Linked DNA regions of Nothobranchius furzeri. The protein of the gene in region 2 interacts with the protein of the main gene of each other region in a biochemical or structural test. Links are inferred from orthologs where the notes say so. Each region holds a gene or a part of one and is shown on either strand. Other genes may lie near its edges.

Region 1 (3,566 bases), on a different chromosome or scaffold from region 2:
TAAAAAGTAAGGCAGTGACACAAGTAATAAACCAACAGTAAAATAAAGCTCTTTGAGAAAATGTCACTTGAGCACTGTGAGTCGTGACAGTTTGAGCATAAAAGTTTGAATTCTGTTTGTCAATTTGTTTTTATCGACGTCTAAGCCCTCTGTCCATGTTTTTATAGCATTTTGTTTGTTTAGCATTAGCACCCAGCAGTGCTTGGGCACTGATGTCAACTGAGAAGTCAGTTATTTTTAACACATTTACAAAAAAAAAGAATGCAACATGAGAATGTAACATAAAACGTGGGAAAAGTGAGGTGGTGTGACTGTATCTTCTCCTTTTCTTTAAACTCAGGTGGCAAGAAAGATTAAACTCAGTGGCCAACAGTTATGTCTGTTAGTGCTGGGTGGAGAGGAGTACGAGCAGGCTGTTTCACAAGGTCGCGACCTTCAAAGTCTGGTCAAAGTCCACAAGGAGGAAGGCTGCAAACCGCCCAGGCTCTGCCACATCACCAAGGATCAAATCTCAAGTCTGGGTATCAGCTTCTCACCCTTGGAAGGTAACACTTGTGATAGCAACAAGTCCAACATACAAGATTAGATGTGTTTCATGCTGAAGACAGTTCGATGTCGCTCAGCTGCTCCTCCTGTCTGCTCTGTAGGAGAGAAAGGTCGCTTCTCCGTGAACCTGGTGAAAGGAGGTGCAGCTGAAAGGGCGGGGGTGTGTAAGGGCGATCGCCTCGTGTGGATGAATGGAGCAATGGTGTCCCATCTCACACACTCTGCCCTCACACGAATGGTTCGTATCCTCCAAACACAAATGGTGCAAATCGAATGAATTTAGAATGAGCCAAGACTGAGATAATTGTGTCCAACCCTGCTGATAACTGATGTTTGGTTGTAGATGAAAAAATGTGGCACTAGCATCACCATCCTAGTGGTAGACAGTGAAAGTGAGAAGATCTACATGCAAAAGAAGATGCCCATCCTTCCAGCCATGGCTGTCCCACACAAACTGCCCTTCAGAGCCAGGAAGCTCCACCTCATCTCTGGACCCGAGGGCTATGGCTTTCTCCTCCGGCTGGAGAAGACACCATCAGGAAACACATGTGAGAGAAACATAAATATCTACGATTTAAACTCTTCCACTTTAAGTATTTGATTTTGACTGGTTTTAAATCATTAGATCATGTTCTACGTGAGGTGGAACAAAGCAGTCCAGCAGAGAAGGGAGGTATGAAGGATGGAGAGATCCTGTTGGAGGTCAACGGCGAGTCGGTGGAGTCTCTGAAGCATGAAGAGATTGTGGACAGAGTAAGACTGAGTGGAAAGAAGGTCTCCCTCACCTCGATCACCCCCTCAGGGCTAGATTTCTACACCAAGGTTGGTTTCGCCAGAACCAGATACGAACATTAAAATGCATGTACTGCTCTCAAGAGTCTTGCATTCTTCTAATTGATAAACAAGTCCAAGCTGTGGTTGTCCAGACTTCCTGAAAGTTTTTCTCTTTTGGGGGGTGGGGGGGTATTAAGTAAAAAGTCAAGATTGTTTCCAGTAAATGTTGGACTCTATCAGGGTTGACCTTAATCAACCACTTTTAGTAATTTATGGATAGATTGTCCAGGCACAGCCAAGGAGTAATCGAGTAACCAGTGGCTTATCGGTACAAACCCAGGCTCTGTCCCTGACTTAGAAAAGTGCTACTTTACATATATATATATATAGCTGATTCAACCACTGAATTAAGTGAGTTGGAGCAGAGAAACACCTAAAACATGCTGGTTACTGGCCCTCAAGGACCAGGGTTGAGAAATCCTGGTGTTCAGCTCCTCTGCAGTGGAAGGAGACTACTGAGGTGGTTGGGGCATCTGGTGAGGATGCCTTCAGAAGTCTTTCCATGGAAGATGCTTCAGACATGTCCCACTGAGGGGACCTTACCACAGACTCTTGCTGGAGAGATTAGGTCTCACGGCTAAGCCTCGGATTCCCTCTGAATGAGGCAGAGGAGGTGGCTCGGGGAGGAAGGTCTAGCTGAAGACTTCTGCTTTAACTCTTGCCACCCTGGCTCTTGTCCAAAATGTCAGCTGGGTGGGGTGCTCAAGGCTTTAGTATAGTGGATATAGAGAACGTTGCCCCTGGTGTAAACATGGTGTGTTTTTCTGTTTATTTACTCCCTGTAGCTGGGTCTGTCTCCTCTTCTCTTCTGTGAAGACGATGCCGCTGACAAAGAGACGGAAAACAATAAACCGACTTCTGCCAAAGTTCAGGAAAGTAAAGAGTCGTGTGTTCCTAGAGTCTCTGCTGTTTCAGCAACCACTGATGCCACAAATGGAGAGGTAGAAACCAATGCTTACGAATAAATCACAAATACCGTTAGTTTATGATTTAGCAGTGAACAGTTCTAATCAGATGTTCTTGTTTGTACCTCGGCAGGAAGAAGATGGTTATGAGATTTCAGTTTTGTGAGTAGCTGTGATGGGGAATCACGAGGAGTTCTGCCAGCACCACCGGCCTTCTGAGATTCAAACAAAACTGAACCAGAGAATCCGTTCTTAATTCCTTCCCATAAGAACAGCAAAGGAATGGGTCTCAAGAGCAACACTAACGGCAAAACAATGAAATAAGCTACACTTGAGTTCTTACACAGTTGACATTGTACTAGTGGTGGTATTTAAACTGCCTACTTGGGTAAAATGCATGAATTTATTTTCAACAGACACTCCACAACAAACTTCACTTTCCCTAAAAAAGGCTGAATTACAGGAAGTCTGCGTGTGTTTCTTTAAATACTTATAACTGTTTTAATCACTAACTTACTGAATGGCTTCTGTTCAGAGAAATGGAGTTTAACATAAGAAAACACTTCAATCTCCAAAGCATAGCCATTTCTGCAAGTCATTTTATAAACTTTTACGCCACAATCACTTTTACACAATTGTTTACATAGAATTATGTGGTTATATTCACGTGTAAAGGTCAGAACCAGACTCAGCTGATATCAAGTCTGATATTTAAATTGCTGTTATATCCAATAACAGATATTACATTAATATAAGTAGGGATGTAAGAAAATAATGATACACTGGAATATTGCCACATTTTATGTTTACATATAAAGTGGATATATAAGGGCAGTGTAAGGATTGTTTTTATGCAAACATCTACTTTATTTTGTTTGTGAGGTGCAATGCAAAGTCTGACTGCTAGGTGGCAGCAGTTTTCACCACCTTCCTTCTGACAGAACAACAAGATCTGGTGATAACTGGATGTGTTTTAGAAGCATCTGACCCAAGTCAAATACACACGCACGCACGCACGCACGCACGCACGCACACACACACAATTTTGTTTTACTGATTAAACAATTACTGCACACTTTTTGCAAATCTCATAAACTTAGTTTCACCTCTAAAATGTCCCTATGTGTGTCTCCTATATGATATATAGTCTGAAACTTTTTATCTTAACCAGCGATTTATACAGGAAAAGATCAAAGAGGCTGCCCAAACTTTTGCACCCCACTGTAATGTTTTTTTTGTTTAAAATTCATAATGAGCTAAAAAGTCGTGTTTATGAGGTTA
Region 2 (4,115 bases):
CTGGGAATTTCTCCTACCCCGTAAACCATCCTACTGTAGTTGATGAGCATGTGCGCGCATGCGCACAACACAAAAAGGGAACGCTACTCCGCTGTCATATTTGCAAGAAAATAGATTAGTAAGTATTAGTACTTTTTATTGATGTTGATACTTGATTTTTTTGGGTAAGAATTAGGGTTATGGTTAGGGTTTGTGTCATGTAAAACACCGTAAAATTATCCTACGGATAGGACATTTTGCCAAAGTCGGACGTTTTCTCAGAACACCCGGAAGTAAGATGGACAGAGCGGGGCTTAACCTATGGGCTTAACGCATGGGAGCAAAGTGAGAGACCACGCCCAAATTTAATTTAGCTTCAAGTGAAACAATAAAAAAAACTCCTAATATCTGCTTTCTTTTCTTGAATTGCCCAAATTTAATGTTGACACGTGCATCCAGTTCAAATTGAAAACCCGGTGTGTTTGTTCTGCTTTTGAGAATCCTGGTGTCACCGCTCCATGGATTTTGTAATCTTATTTCCAGTGAATGTTCTGGTAATTTTCTATGTATTTACGTGTAAAGTACATAATATTTAAATAGTTTGGGTTCACCTGCAGAGGTCTTCATTTCAGTAATCAAAAGGGATCAGAAGATGAGCAGGTGGCTGGTACAGTCTGTGTCCAGGAGAGGGCGCCCTTTTCTCTTTCCTCAGCCTCGTTCGTGTTTGAGGATGTTAAAACACCTGATGCTATGTGTGATCTCCTTCTTTAAAGCAAACTTAAGTTCATGACTTACTTTAACATGCAGGTTTTTATTACGCTGCTTAAGACACGTTTTCACCTTTCTGAAAGTCACAGCTTTAGTTGCTTTTGTTAAAAGTCCTTGTTTCTGACTTACACACGTCAGCTTTCTGTGTGTTTGTGATAGCACTGAGTGTGTGTATCCATGTGTTTATGTCCTCCCAGAACTCCGGTAGAGTTCACCTGATGAATGACTGTGTGATGTCCACTAAAAAAGCCAATTTGCTGCATTTTATCAGTGTTCCCTGCAGGAATGTCTAGAGGTGTTTTGATCTTCCCTCTCCTGAAACTGTGCGTAACGAGAAGCTGATAAAAAGTTTCAGGTTGGATGTCCCAGAATCGTTTCTGCTAGACTCACAGGAGAGGAGCAGCTTTGGCGACTTGGCCAATAAAGAAGCGCGGACAACCCTCTCACACGGAGTGAAGAGGCAGCGCAACAGGAGCGGACCTGGAGCCGCCACCCCCCACCCACCCACACACACACCAACACCATCCTCTGGGGTGGAGAGGAGGATAAAGGCCGAACCCTCCCCGGAGCGCCAGGAGGACACACCGATGAGAGCGGCGCAGGGACCCTCGGCTGCACACGGATCAAAACTGGCGGCGCTTTTAGGATGCAAAAGTCACCGGTGGAAGATGCAAACTTCCTCTCCAAGTTTGTCTTTTGGTAAGGCTGTTAGACCGTTTCTGACTAACACCTGGACACGTGCTGAAGCTTTCCAAAACAAGTTCTGCTGCCGGTGCGTAAATGCGGTTGGACTGGCGCGCTCCAGTGCGCAGGTTGTTTTAGGGTCTTATGGTCATCATAAAACAGGGATTTGATTTGTGGTGATTAATCTGGATTGTTCAAACAGAAAGCCTCCGATAAGAAACAATTAACATCTTTGTTCTTGTTTGGAGAGAAAGAGATCAGTTTTGACCCAAACTGCAACAGCTAATAGCTACCTCAAGACTTCCACAGCAGTTACAAATGCAATTATACCTTCCCATGTGCAAAATTGTCACGTTTCATGGTGATTCCAGTAGAAATGTGATGAGATTTCAGCCAGAATAAAACTGAAGTTGTCTTAACCAATTCCTGCTGCAAATTACAGAAAGCAAAAAAAGCACGTGAAGCTGCGTTTGTGCTGATGTATTCTTAAGCAACACTTGCTTGAGATCTGAAGGTGGCAGGAGCATCTCTGGTCAGAACTCATCTCTGCTTCTCCAAACTGGGTGTTTTTATTACATCATCAACTTCTGGTAAGATATTACTGGTTAATGACAGTTTCAGAAAACGCACTAAAATGTCCTTTTGTGATTTCCAGGCACGAACCATGACACCATTCTTATTTTATAGTTTTATTCATATTTTGACAAAAAAAAAGAAAAAGTAAAAAAAAATTCACCTTTTGAAACAAACTTGTCAGAGTTGTTAACCATTTCTTGTTCTTTTCTTACACAGTGTTAGTAAAAAGATTTTCAGGGTTGTAAACGTCTGCTCCAATCAGCACGCATTCCAATCCTGAAGTATTTAATCAACAACTAAATAGTAGTTTCGTATAAAAGCAATAGTTACACTTGATTGTTGGCCACGCTCCGTATGGGTCTGCAGGTCTACCATTGGCCTGAACAATTTTAGATCTGGTCAGTCAGCGCTCTGGTTGTAGATCGATGTTGGGCACCAGAGCTGCGATGGATAAAACTACAAAGATGCCTGTTTGAAACGGCTTTGGCATCATTTTTAAACGATTTAGACTTGGGCCTTTCTTTGAGACGTGAGCAGATAGAGGTAGTTAAGTCTTTTATTTAGAAAATGGATGTATCTATTTCTTCTTCAACGACTCTGTGTGATGGACTGCCCTTTGACAAATTTATGTTGTCTTGGACGCATCATGATGTCCGTTGGTCTGATTGGTCCTTATGCTGTCCAATTGGGTGCAGACAACGTTTGAAAGACAACCGTAGATCCTGCCCCATGACTGAGCTCTGTCTATGGGTCGTGGCCAGACTATAGGATGACAGCCCAGGCTACTGATTTACTATAATATTAGTTCAGCTGAGGTCAGTCCCTCCACTTGACTAATATCAGACCAGTAGAACTAACAATCACTCTAACAGAACCTTCCTGACAGCATGAAATAGGCAAAAAGATCTCAAAAAGCAACACATCAACACACTCAAGAACTAAAGGACCTAACTCAGCTAATGAGAACTGGCCCACTTCCAAGTCCAAAACCTCTGTTCACCCAGAAACAACACAGCCATCTCCAAAAAACATTTTGGGATCAAATTCTTCTAGAAAAGTGTTCTGGGGACTGAAGAGACAAAAGTAGAACTTATTGGAAGGTATGTGTCCTGTTCCACATGAATGTGACTTCTCTTCTTACATTCTGAGACCCTCATCACCACAATGTTGCACAAAAAACAAAGTTTTTCTGACATTTTGCTTGAATTCATTTTGTGTTTGAATCAGTTACGGTAATTGCCTGTTTACTTGTCTTAGTGCGCGGACATGTGGTCAGTTAGAGAGCTTGGGGAGACATGAACACATGAAAGCTTTGCCTGTAATTCTCAGCTGTGGGTCAATGATGAGAAACCACACACAAACACACTCACAGGTCCTTATGTTTGCTCCATACACAGGACTGATGTGTTCCATCTTCTTGGGACTACAGATTGAATCAAAGCTTCCTTCCCTTTCACTGAGAACCATCCCTCCTACAGCACTTTATTACAGCTGCTTCTGTCATTATTCACCTCAGAAATAGCTCGTTACAGCACATTCACCTTAAAGCTTTTACTTTTGTTTGCCAGAGACTTTCTCTCACCACATCATTAAATCTGATTTAACCGTGTCTAGTATGAAGTGGGGTTGTTATATAGTTGTTGTCACTGAGACATTCCTCAGCTTCCTTTTTATTTAAAGGGACTATAAGGAATTTGAAATTTTGATGCACACGATTGCCCCCTCAGGCCCAATGCGTAACTGCAGCTTCAATAATAAGCTAGTGCAAGAGGCGTGCATGCTGTACGTGCACACTCCTGAATGAAAACAACAGCTGAGTCAGTCCTGCACCGGTGCAGTTTTCAGGTTTAGACTGTTTTACACAATTCTAATAAAGTAGACAAATAATGTACTCTGATGTATACATGCTAGACAAGCAGCCTAAAAAAATGTTCTATCATTTACAGAAGGCCCCGGCTTGCTTTGGAAACTATCAACCCTTTTACCCCATTACTATTTTATTAGTTAAAATTGTAAATTAGTATGATTAAAATGGCCCAAATTACTTTGGTGTGTAAAATAAATTCTAAAAGTATAAATAAAGTGATATTAAGGCAGATTTGGTGTGG
Region 3 (4,282 bases), on a different chromosome or scaffold from region 2:
AACACTTTTAAGACTACACTAAGAAAATAATGCATGCCGCCCTCCAGAATCCATCGTGTTTTTCAATATTATGTTTTCATATTTTGCTTACCAAATTGATGTAAGTTACAGCGTAGTTACTCGTAACTTTTGGTGTTTTGCCATCCTGACCATGTCTTCCTTTAAAAAGGGTTAGTTAGGGTTTTTTTGGTCTTTAAATTAGGTTTTAATTTTTAGAGTGTGATTTGCTTTGTAAAGCACATTGTGATTTATTTTCTGTTATAGATGCTATATAAATGAACTTTACTCACTCACTCATTTTTAAAAAATTAAACTTAAATAAAATCATTGAAATATATCAAGAAAAATATATTACATGATATATATATACATATATATATATATATATATATATATATATATATATATATATATATATAGGGTTAGGGTTGGGGTTACATATATATATCCGTATTCAATTGTGAGTATAAAATAGATGAGCATATAAAACATCTTTCATGGTGATGTTAGTCCTTTTTAAAGATGCATTGAGCCTCACAGTCTTTCAAAAATGTGGTCACTCATTTTCAGTTTTTAACCTCTTAAATATTTCAGTGTGAAACATTTTGCGTGTGAATCCGTGTATCTTCAAAACACATTTTGCTGAGTAAACAATTTGCTTTTTATTTCTAACCTTTGGAGATTTTTATAATGCACAGCAAGATGCAACCTGGACACATCTGAGCAGGACTGTGTCAAAAAAGAATTAATATTTGAAATAATGATTGTAGATTTTCATTAGCAGGTGTGTGGATTGTGTCAAATTTAAACTGATGAATGTTGGTTTGTTTCCTGCTCTGACTGTTGAAATATGATGTACTGGATTAGTAGCTCTGGTTCATTTTGAAATGTTTTTCTGTTCTTTGCTGTGTAATAATGGAGTTTAAATAAAGTGTTCAGCATTTAAGTTCAGCACTTGCGTTCATTGTTTACACAAAGCTGAACGTCATCCAGCCTGGGTGCTTTCTGTGTCAACACAGATTTCTATTGCTTTATAATAAAGTCTGGTTTACTCACATGCATGCCTTTGTTGTGAATCCTGTTAAAGCTGTTTACTGATATATTTTCTCTAGGTTTATCAAATGGGCGCCACAATCAATTAAAATAGATTTAACCAGATAGTAATTAATAACTTTTTGTTCAGCCAATTTTTGCAGGACACCTGGGAAAGTGACTATTTTGTGACATGACTCATAAACTTTTATTAGATAAATGCGAATTGCGGTCCAGTTTTCCCTAAACCAATAGTAAACACTTCCTGTTTATTGAAATATTTTGCTCAGAACACATGCCCATCGTGCAAATAACAGATGTAATTTGCTTGAATTTTTAACACATTTTTATCATGTACTTTATTTAGTATACAGAAATTTCTATTGATATTAAGGGTCTTTTTAGCAATTGCATAAAGTGATGGATTACATCTTCCGGTTATACAAGATTACAAAATAAATACTTGAATAAATCATATTTGTTTTTATGATTACTTCATTACATTTCAAAGCATACTTTTAAAATGACGTTACTATTTCCTCCGTTACTATTGTCAGAGGATCATGAAAACGAGCTCCTCGCATTGTTTTTCTTAGATGCTAATATTTGCGAGCTTTCTGTGTTACGTGAACGCAACGTCTCGTGTGGTTTTGACGAATCACGCAGACGCCGGGGCGCGTCGTCCCACTTTCGCCGTACGGAGCCGAGCCGCTAGAGAGCCGCACACAGCTGAGTTCGGTCTGTGTCCGCCTGCAGCTAGCTAACCCCGCAGAAAGGCCACTGCGGGAAGATGGCGACGGAAAAACAAAAACATGAAGGAAGAGTCAAAATAGGACATTACATTCTCGGGGACACGCTTGGAGTCGGGACGTTTGGAAAGGTTAAAGGTAGGTCCGACATGCAGAGTACATCCTGCCCACCCAAGATGATAGCGCTTTTAGCTTAGCTGCTAATGTAGCCTAGTCTCAAAGCTAAAGTTGTCGCCAGACCTGGAATGTATGCAGCCACACTCAGTTTGTCTTCTTTGCCATAACGAGTTGGAACTGTTGGGTTGCACTAAACGGTGCAACTTGTTAAACTGATGATTATTTATTTCTTATTACCAGTTAGCGTTGTCAGCAATATGTTGGCCTGCGAGCCAAAAGTCTCTGTCAAGACCCGAGTGAACCTCCTGTGGCTGGTGTTTGCGCCTGTGGCTAAAAAGACGTGTGTTCATTTCCGTTCCCCTGCTTCCACAAAAAATATATATTGGTAAACAAAATCCGCCATCAGGCTCGACCATCACGCTGAGGAAATATTTACGCATTCAGGTGTGTTGAAACAGAAAGTTGGACAAACACCCACGTTTACTCCCCGTGTTGTCAGAGGGTGATTCGCGTTTTGGGCACCGTTAGCTTGGTTTATCAGCACTCGCCTTGACCGGAAGTGCCGATTGAAACCATTAAATTAAACCTACATTTGAACACATTTTTGTTTCAGAAGCATGACTTTTGTCCCTCCTGTTCTGTCAGAACAGCCACTCGCTCTGTTTACAGTTAGTTTCCAGTGACTCATCACTCTCCTCCACTCATGTTATTTGTTGTTGATGAGAAAACAGCGTCTCAGTCCACTGGAGTTGCTGATCCGTGAAGATGCCTGAGTGCTGCACATTTAATATTTCACCGGTGATAAAATCTAATGCTACTGCTCAGTAACCCCTAAGTGGTTTCCACCGTCCATCTAGCTCAAAGGCTCAAACCCTTTATGACCGAAAGAGCCATTTTCAACATCATGCTAAATATAATATGTGTAGGGCTGCAAAATTTACTTGAGCCATATAAATAAGCGCTTATGCACACGTGACCATTTGTTTTCTTTTAAATTTCTAATTCATAGTCTAAAAGGAATCCACAATATTACAGTAAAACCGGGCGTACACTGTGATTTTTGGACCGTTTTGAGCCAATTTTTCTCTCATGCAAGAATCTTTTAGGTCAGGGCAAGTTCGTGTATTGTCTAGTGTATGGGAGTAATGTGAGGTGATTAACACCTCCTGAGCAGCAATCACGCAGTCGCATGAATATCAAACATGTTTGATATTTTGCTCCTCCCTCGTGAGGGTCTCGCAGTCTTGAAGCAGCTCTGCTCACCCAGAACATGCGCCAGCATGGCTGCCGAGCTTATTATGCATCAACACATGTTGTTTGTTTTTATTTTTTCACTTTTCTCCACACACAACAGCGAAGATTGTCAAGAAAGTACGTTGTCTCTGTTTATGTCAAATACGAGAAAAACATTGTTTACGTCCTTTCATTCGTCTTCCTTCTCCATCTCCCATAACCCCCTTTGTTTTTCTACAGCAAGCCCAAAGGACAACAGACGTCAACAACATAGTCTGTATTCGTTTTTTGCAGATAAAGTTTGAGAAACAAAAGTCATCAACAAAAAATCAAGAGTCTCTGGGTCCTGTGGATTTTTGGATTCAAAAGTCTGACATGTGTAAAAACTATTAGCTTGTTTTTATGTGTGACATGTCGCTACCACATGTAGAGTCTGAGCATTGGGTCTTAAGGCTAGTTTATGCTTCTGCATCAGCTCCACGAGGGAGGGAACCACACAAGAGACATCTCCGTCTCATGGGGGCTGTTGCAAATCAATTCCCCGTCTGGACAACAGAAGGCGTAGCGCTGTTCTGTGATATCCTGTCATGCATCTGGTCCAAGATCGTGCATTTACTATTGTGTTTTTATATTTCAGAAACCTTTTAACACGGACAAATATGTCTGTCATTCTCCTCCACCTCTTCATGCACTCACCACCTCTAAACCCACGTTTCCCCTCCTTCCTGTCCACGAATAAATTGCTTGCATCCTTTTACTCCTCCAGTCACGGGTGAATAAAACGTTCATATTTTGAGTTTTTCTACGAGGTATTCTTCAAGCTGCTCCATGTCTTCCGCTAGATATCTTCGGCTCTCTTTATTTTTTTGAGAGGGCAACAGCGGTGCTGTTGACGAAAGTGTTGTCCTAACCAATCACAAGCTCGTGTTCTCCATCTTGTGTTGCTGATTTGGTGCAAATATGTTCTTTGTGTCAGAAAGTCGAATAAACAAACGGACTGGCTAATGACAACAAAACTGCTCAGTATGTTTAACACATTGTTACTAAAAACTCTTAAATGTTTTTTGCTAAATCTGGTATTGAAAGGAAGGGAAAGAACTTAGATTAGGGTAATTCAGCTGTGGCACACACAGATTAGGATAGGTTCTGTA
Region 4 (3,667 bases), on a different chromosome or scaffold from region 2:
TCATTTTATTTATTATTTATTTTCATAAAGTAATTAAGTCAGAAAAAAATGATCTATTGAAACACAAGCTATGATTGGGTTTGTCTTTTTCATTTGAGAAGTACACCAATAACATTTGAACTACTTTGACCCTATATCTGAGTTGTCCTACATGCTACTATGACTTATACTTGTACTTCACTCTGAAGTTGTTAGATGAGTAACAGAACACACCTATGATAACATAAACCACTCCTATGTGGTTTTCCATCAGCAACAGCAACACTCTCACCCTTAGCAACACATGTTATCTGCTTATCTATCTATATGCCTTATGACTATAGGAGAGGAGGGTCTGTTCATGACTGAGGTGATTCGGGGGGGTGTGGCGGACAAAGCAGGAGTTCGTGCCAAAGATCGTCTAATTGAAATCAATGGTGAGAACGTTGAAAAATGCACCCACGAGGAAGCAGTGAACAAGATAAAACAGGGGGGCAACAGCGTGATGTTTCTGCTGGTTGATGAGGAAACCGACAAATTCCATCAGAGCAAACAAGCAAAATTAGGTTCGTGGAGAGCAACAGTCAAGTATCTTCCTCTCCATCCACGCATCGTCAAAATGACCAAAGGATCAGATGGATATGGCTTCCTGCTCAGAGAGGAGCCCAACCAAGCAGGCAAGGCCATGGTAACATGCTGTACTTTTCACTCCGGAGTGATGGCCTAATAATGTACTCCTTTACTTCTTTCAGGACACTTCATGAAGGAAGTAGATAAAGGCAGTCCAGCGGAAAAAGGTGGTCTGATGGAGAATGACGTAGTTGTCGCTGTGAATGGCAAAGAGGTGGACGGCTACAGTCATGAGCAAGTGGTGGACTGGATCAAGCAAAGTGGAGACAAATGCTGCCTCCTTGTGGTGGACAAAGAAACACAGCAAATGTATAAGAAGGTGAGCCATAGACCTAACCTGGAAAGCCAACTTATATTTGTAAAAGTCTGGTCACGAGTCACTGAAACCACCCAGCCATGAGGCTAAATCTACGGTTGTCTTTCAAACTGTCTATGCATGCAACTGGACAGTGCTAGGACCAGTCAGAGCAACGAACAACATGATGTAATCATCACTACAAATGTTAGTCAGCATGGCAGTTCACCATACACCGTTGAAGGAGAAGCAAATGTATCCTTCTTTGAAATAAATGACTTAAGTACCTCTATCTGCTCATATCCCAAAGTAGATGCTAAAGCTATTTCAAATGAGCGCCATTTCTGAGCTGACGCCATATTTGTAGTGTTTCTCCATCACAGCTCTAACGTTAAGCCTGTATAACACATTTGAAGTGTTGTAATTGGCAAGACACAAAACTGATCAGGCCATTGATAGACCCGCTGACGTTCCTATGGAGCGTGGCTAGACCGACCTGCAAAGCAAACCTTTTTGCTATTAGTCTGGATTTCTAGGCTCCCACTGACTCACTGTTCGTCATTAGATGTCTACTGTAGATAACATATTGTCATGCTGTTTCTCAAAGGGAAAAATATCTCCTATGCTCTTCTGGGAGGAAAAGAAAGACTCCAACTTACCACCAAGTTACACAGAAGCTTTAAAAATGCCTGTTTCTGCTCAACCATCCACATCTGTTCAAGAGACGATAGAAGACCTTCGACCAAAGCTGTGTAGGATGGAGAAGACCTCTTCTGGTTTTGGCTTTCACCTAAACGGCATCGAGGGTGTGTGTGGTCAGTACATCAAGGAGGTAAGATCAACATAAGTACTCAATTTCTCATCATTAGTATCTCACAACCAAGACAGAAAACACCATTTCTCTCAGGTGGTGAAAGGTGGACCAGCAGACAAGGCCGGTCTGGGAGACGATGATGTAGTGGTGGAGGTAAACGGGGTAAATGTGGAAAAGAGCTCTCATGCAGAAGTCGTGGAAATGATACGCAGAGGAGGCAACACTCTGGAGATGTTGGTGGCCAGCAAGAATGTCTATAAACAGCTCAAGGACAAAGGCATGACGATCACACCACGGCTAGTCGGGGAAGGTCCCAGCAGTCAAGTCCACGTGTCAAACAGTCCAGAAACAAGCAAGAAGACACGGGAGGAGGCCAGGCCTGTGACCCCACCTAAGGCAGAAAAACAGAGGGTGAGTGCTTCTCTTCTCTTTTAGTAATCAACACTATAAAGATGTCAATGATCCAAAAGTCAGTCCTCCTCTTTAAATTGTATAAATTGCGTGTTTTGTGTGGAAATATTTGGTATCTTCTAACACCCATGTAGCACTACATTAACTGGTTCTTCATCTTAACACTGACAAAAGTCCAAAACCTGTTGAGAAATTCAGTGAATCTGATGTGTTGCACGTTTAATGCAATCTGTTTAATCACATGCAGCTGCTGTTGCTCAAATTATAAACAATACACAAGTTTCATGTTAATTTGAACATTTCTATTCAAAACATTATGAACACAAAATTATACACATTTCCATTTAGTTTTGGATTTTAAACCTTATATGCTGCCAGTTTACCATCTATGGTAGATCTATAATGAAAAAGCATGCTTTTCTGGTCTTTTTTGACAAATCATGTTCGGATTTATGAAAGTATTCTAAAAAAACAAGAGAATGTGTACATTTTATGTTCTAATTAGCTTTTTGTCTCTTTTGTATTTAATTTTTTGTATCTTTTTTCCTTTTCTTTTAGTCTACATCTGTGTCATCCTCTTCATCTGATGAAAGTCTCGACGAGAGATTTTGAGGAACACTTGAAACACTCCCAATTAGGCCTAATCGGATGTTAATTTTATTAAAACCAAAATGCTCAATGAGCTTTTGATATCCTGCTTAGATTAAAACTGTAAAAAATGAGTAAAAACTAGAAAAAAGACAGTAAAGACTGTAAAAATCTGATCCATAGCAGAAGTTTCATGAGATGATTACAAAAAATGACATTTTTTTAAAGCTTGTGATCAGAAATCTTTTGCTTGTCGATCAAATTTAAGCATCAAAGTCTTTCTTACAGCAGAGGAAACCAATAATTCAGGATGTTTTTAACAATTAAGAGTGGTCTTTTTATTCTCTTTATGCTCTCTGCTGTTTTTATTTAATGTTGAAACAGAAATGCTGCTCACATTTAGAAACCAGAAATAAAATTTATTAAAACAAATCAAAGAAAACATACCATCTGAGTTAAGCCTGACTTCATGAGTTTCTGGTCTCTTAAACCAAAAAGCAGATCACATTCAGTGTTCACTCCTTTCCTTCTTACTCTGATGTTAAACAGGAATGTAAAACAGATAGTCCAGTGTACTGAGACTCAAAAAGCAATATTCCTCTTCTGAAAAACCCAAAAATATATAATCTAGGGGCATAGCAAATACAATTTTAGTTTTTCAAGAACATCTGCATTCTTTATAGCAGTGTTGTTCTGTAAAATACTGCAAGAGTCCACGACTTCCAGGGTTTTGTGTAAAAACAAGAGTAAACGAATCTCTGAAAAAAACACTGGCCCAAGCATCAGGAGTTCATTTGTGAGCCAGGAGCGATTCCTCGGGAGTTCAGAGAGTCATGTGCTTCTCCGGGGCCTGCTTGTGGGCGAGATAAAGGAAGAGGATGCTGGACAAGGCGCTGACCAGGAAGATGACATCAAACCAGCGGTGGTAGAAGTTAAACTGCAGTTCTCCC

The links.
Region 1: the proteins of cftr (region 2) and Na(+)/H(+) exchange regulatory cofactor NHE-RF4 form a complex in vitro, tested with the Homo sapiens proteins (2 studies listed by BioGRID and IntAct, with this or other methods). The link is inferred for Nothobranchius furzeri from reciprocal best matches to the Homo sapiens genes CFTR and NHERF4.
Region 3: the proteins of cftr (region 2) and prkaa1 form a complex in vitro, tested with the Homo sapiens proteins (2 studies listed by BioGRID, with this or other methods). The link is inferred for Nothobranchius furzeri from reciprocal best matches to the Homo sapiens genes CFTR and PRKAA1.
Region 4: the proteins of cftr (region 2) and pdzk1 form a complex in vitro, tested with the Homo sapiens proteins (2 studies listed by BioGRID and IntAct, with this or other methods). The link is inferred for Nothobranchius furzeri from reciprocal best matches to the Homo sapiens genes CFTR and PDZK1.

The regions. Positions count from the first base shown.
Region 1 is NC_091750.1:44,652,122-44,655,687, forward strand, and holds part of Na(+)/H(+) exchange regulatory cofactor NHE-RF4, read left to right. Parts: intron 1-340; coding exon 341-545; intron 546-647; coding exon 648-784; intron 785-889; coding exon 890-1,094; intron 1,095-1,171; coding exon 1,172-1,368; intron 1,369-2,165; coding exon 2,166-2,321; intron 2,322-2,418; coding exon 2,419-2,451; 3' UTR 2,452-3,566.
Region 2 is NC_091744.1:52,968,823-52,972,937, forward strand, and holds the start of cftr (cystic fibrosis transmembrane conductance regulator), read left to right. Parts: upstream 1-1,258; 5' UTR 1,259-1,393; coding exon 1,394-1,446; intron 1,447-4,115. UniProt on the Homo sapiens protein: Epithelial ion channel that plays an important role in the regulation of epithelial ion and water transport and fluid homeostasis. Mediates the transport of chloride ions across the cell membrane.
Region 3 is NC_091746.1:66,884,396-66,888,677, reverse strand, and holds the start of prkaa1 (5'-AMP-activated protein kinase catalytic subunit alpha-1), read left to right. Parts: upstream 1-1,471; 5' UTR 1,472-1,822; coding exon 1,823-1,919; intron 1,920-4,282. UniProt on the Homo sapiens protein: Catalytic subunit of AMP-activated protein kinase (AMPK), an energy sensor protein kinase that plays a key role in regulating cellular energy metabolism.
Region 4 is NC_091754.1:24,601,100-24,604,766, reverse strand, and holds the end of pdzk1 (Na(+)/H(+) exchange regulatory cofactor NHE-RF3), read left to right. Parts: intron 1-323; coding exon 324-656; intron 657-731; coding exon 732-928; intron 929-1,511; coding exon 1,512-1,736; intron 1,737-1,811; coding exon 1,812-2,129; intron 2,130-2,687; coding exon 2,688-2,741; 3' UTR 2,742-3,163; downstream 3,164-3,667. Other genes in the region: si:ch73-390b10.2 (Golgi pH regulator), read right to left, coding at 3,541-3,667. UniProt on the Homo sapiens protein: A scaffold protein that connects plasma membrane proteins and regulatory components, regulating their surface expression in epithelial cells apical domains.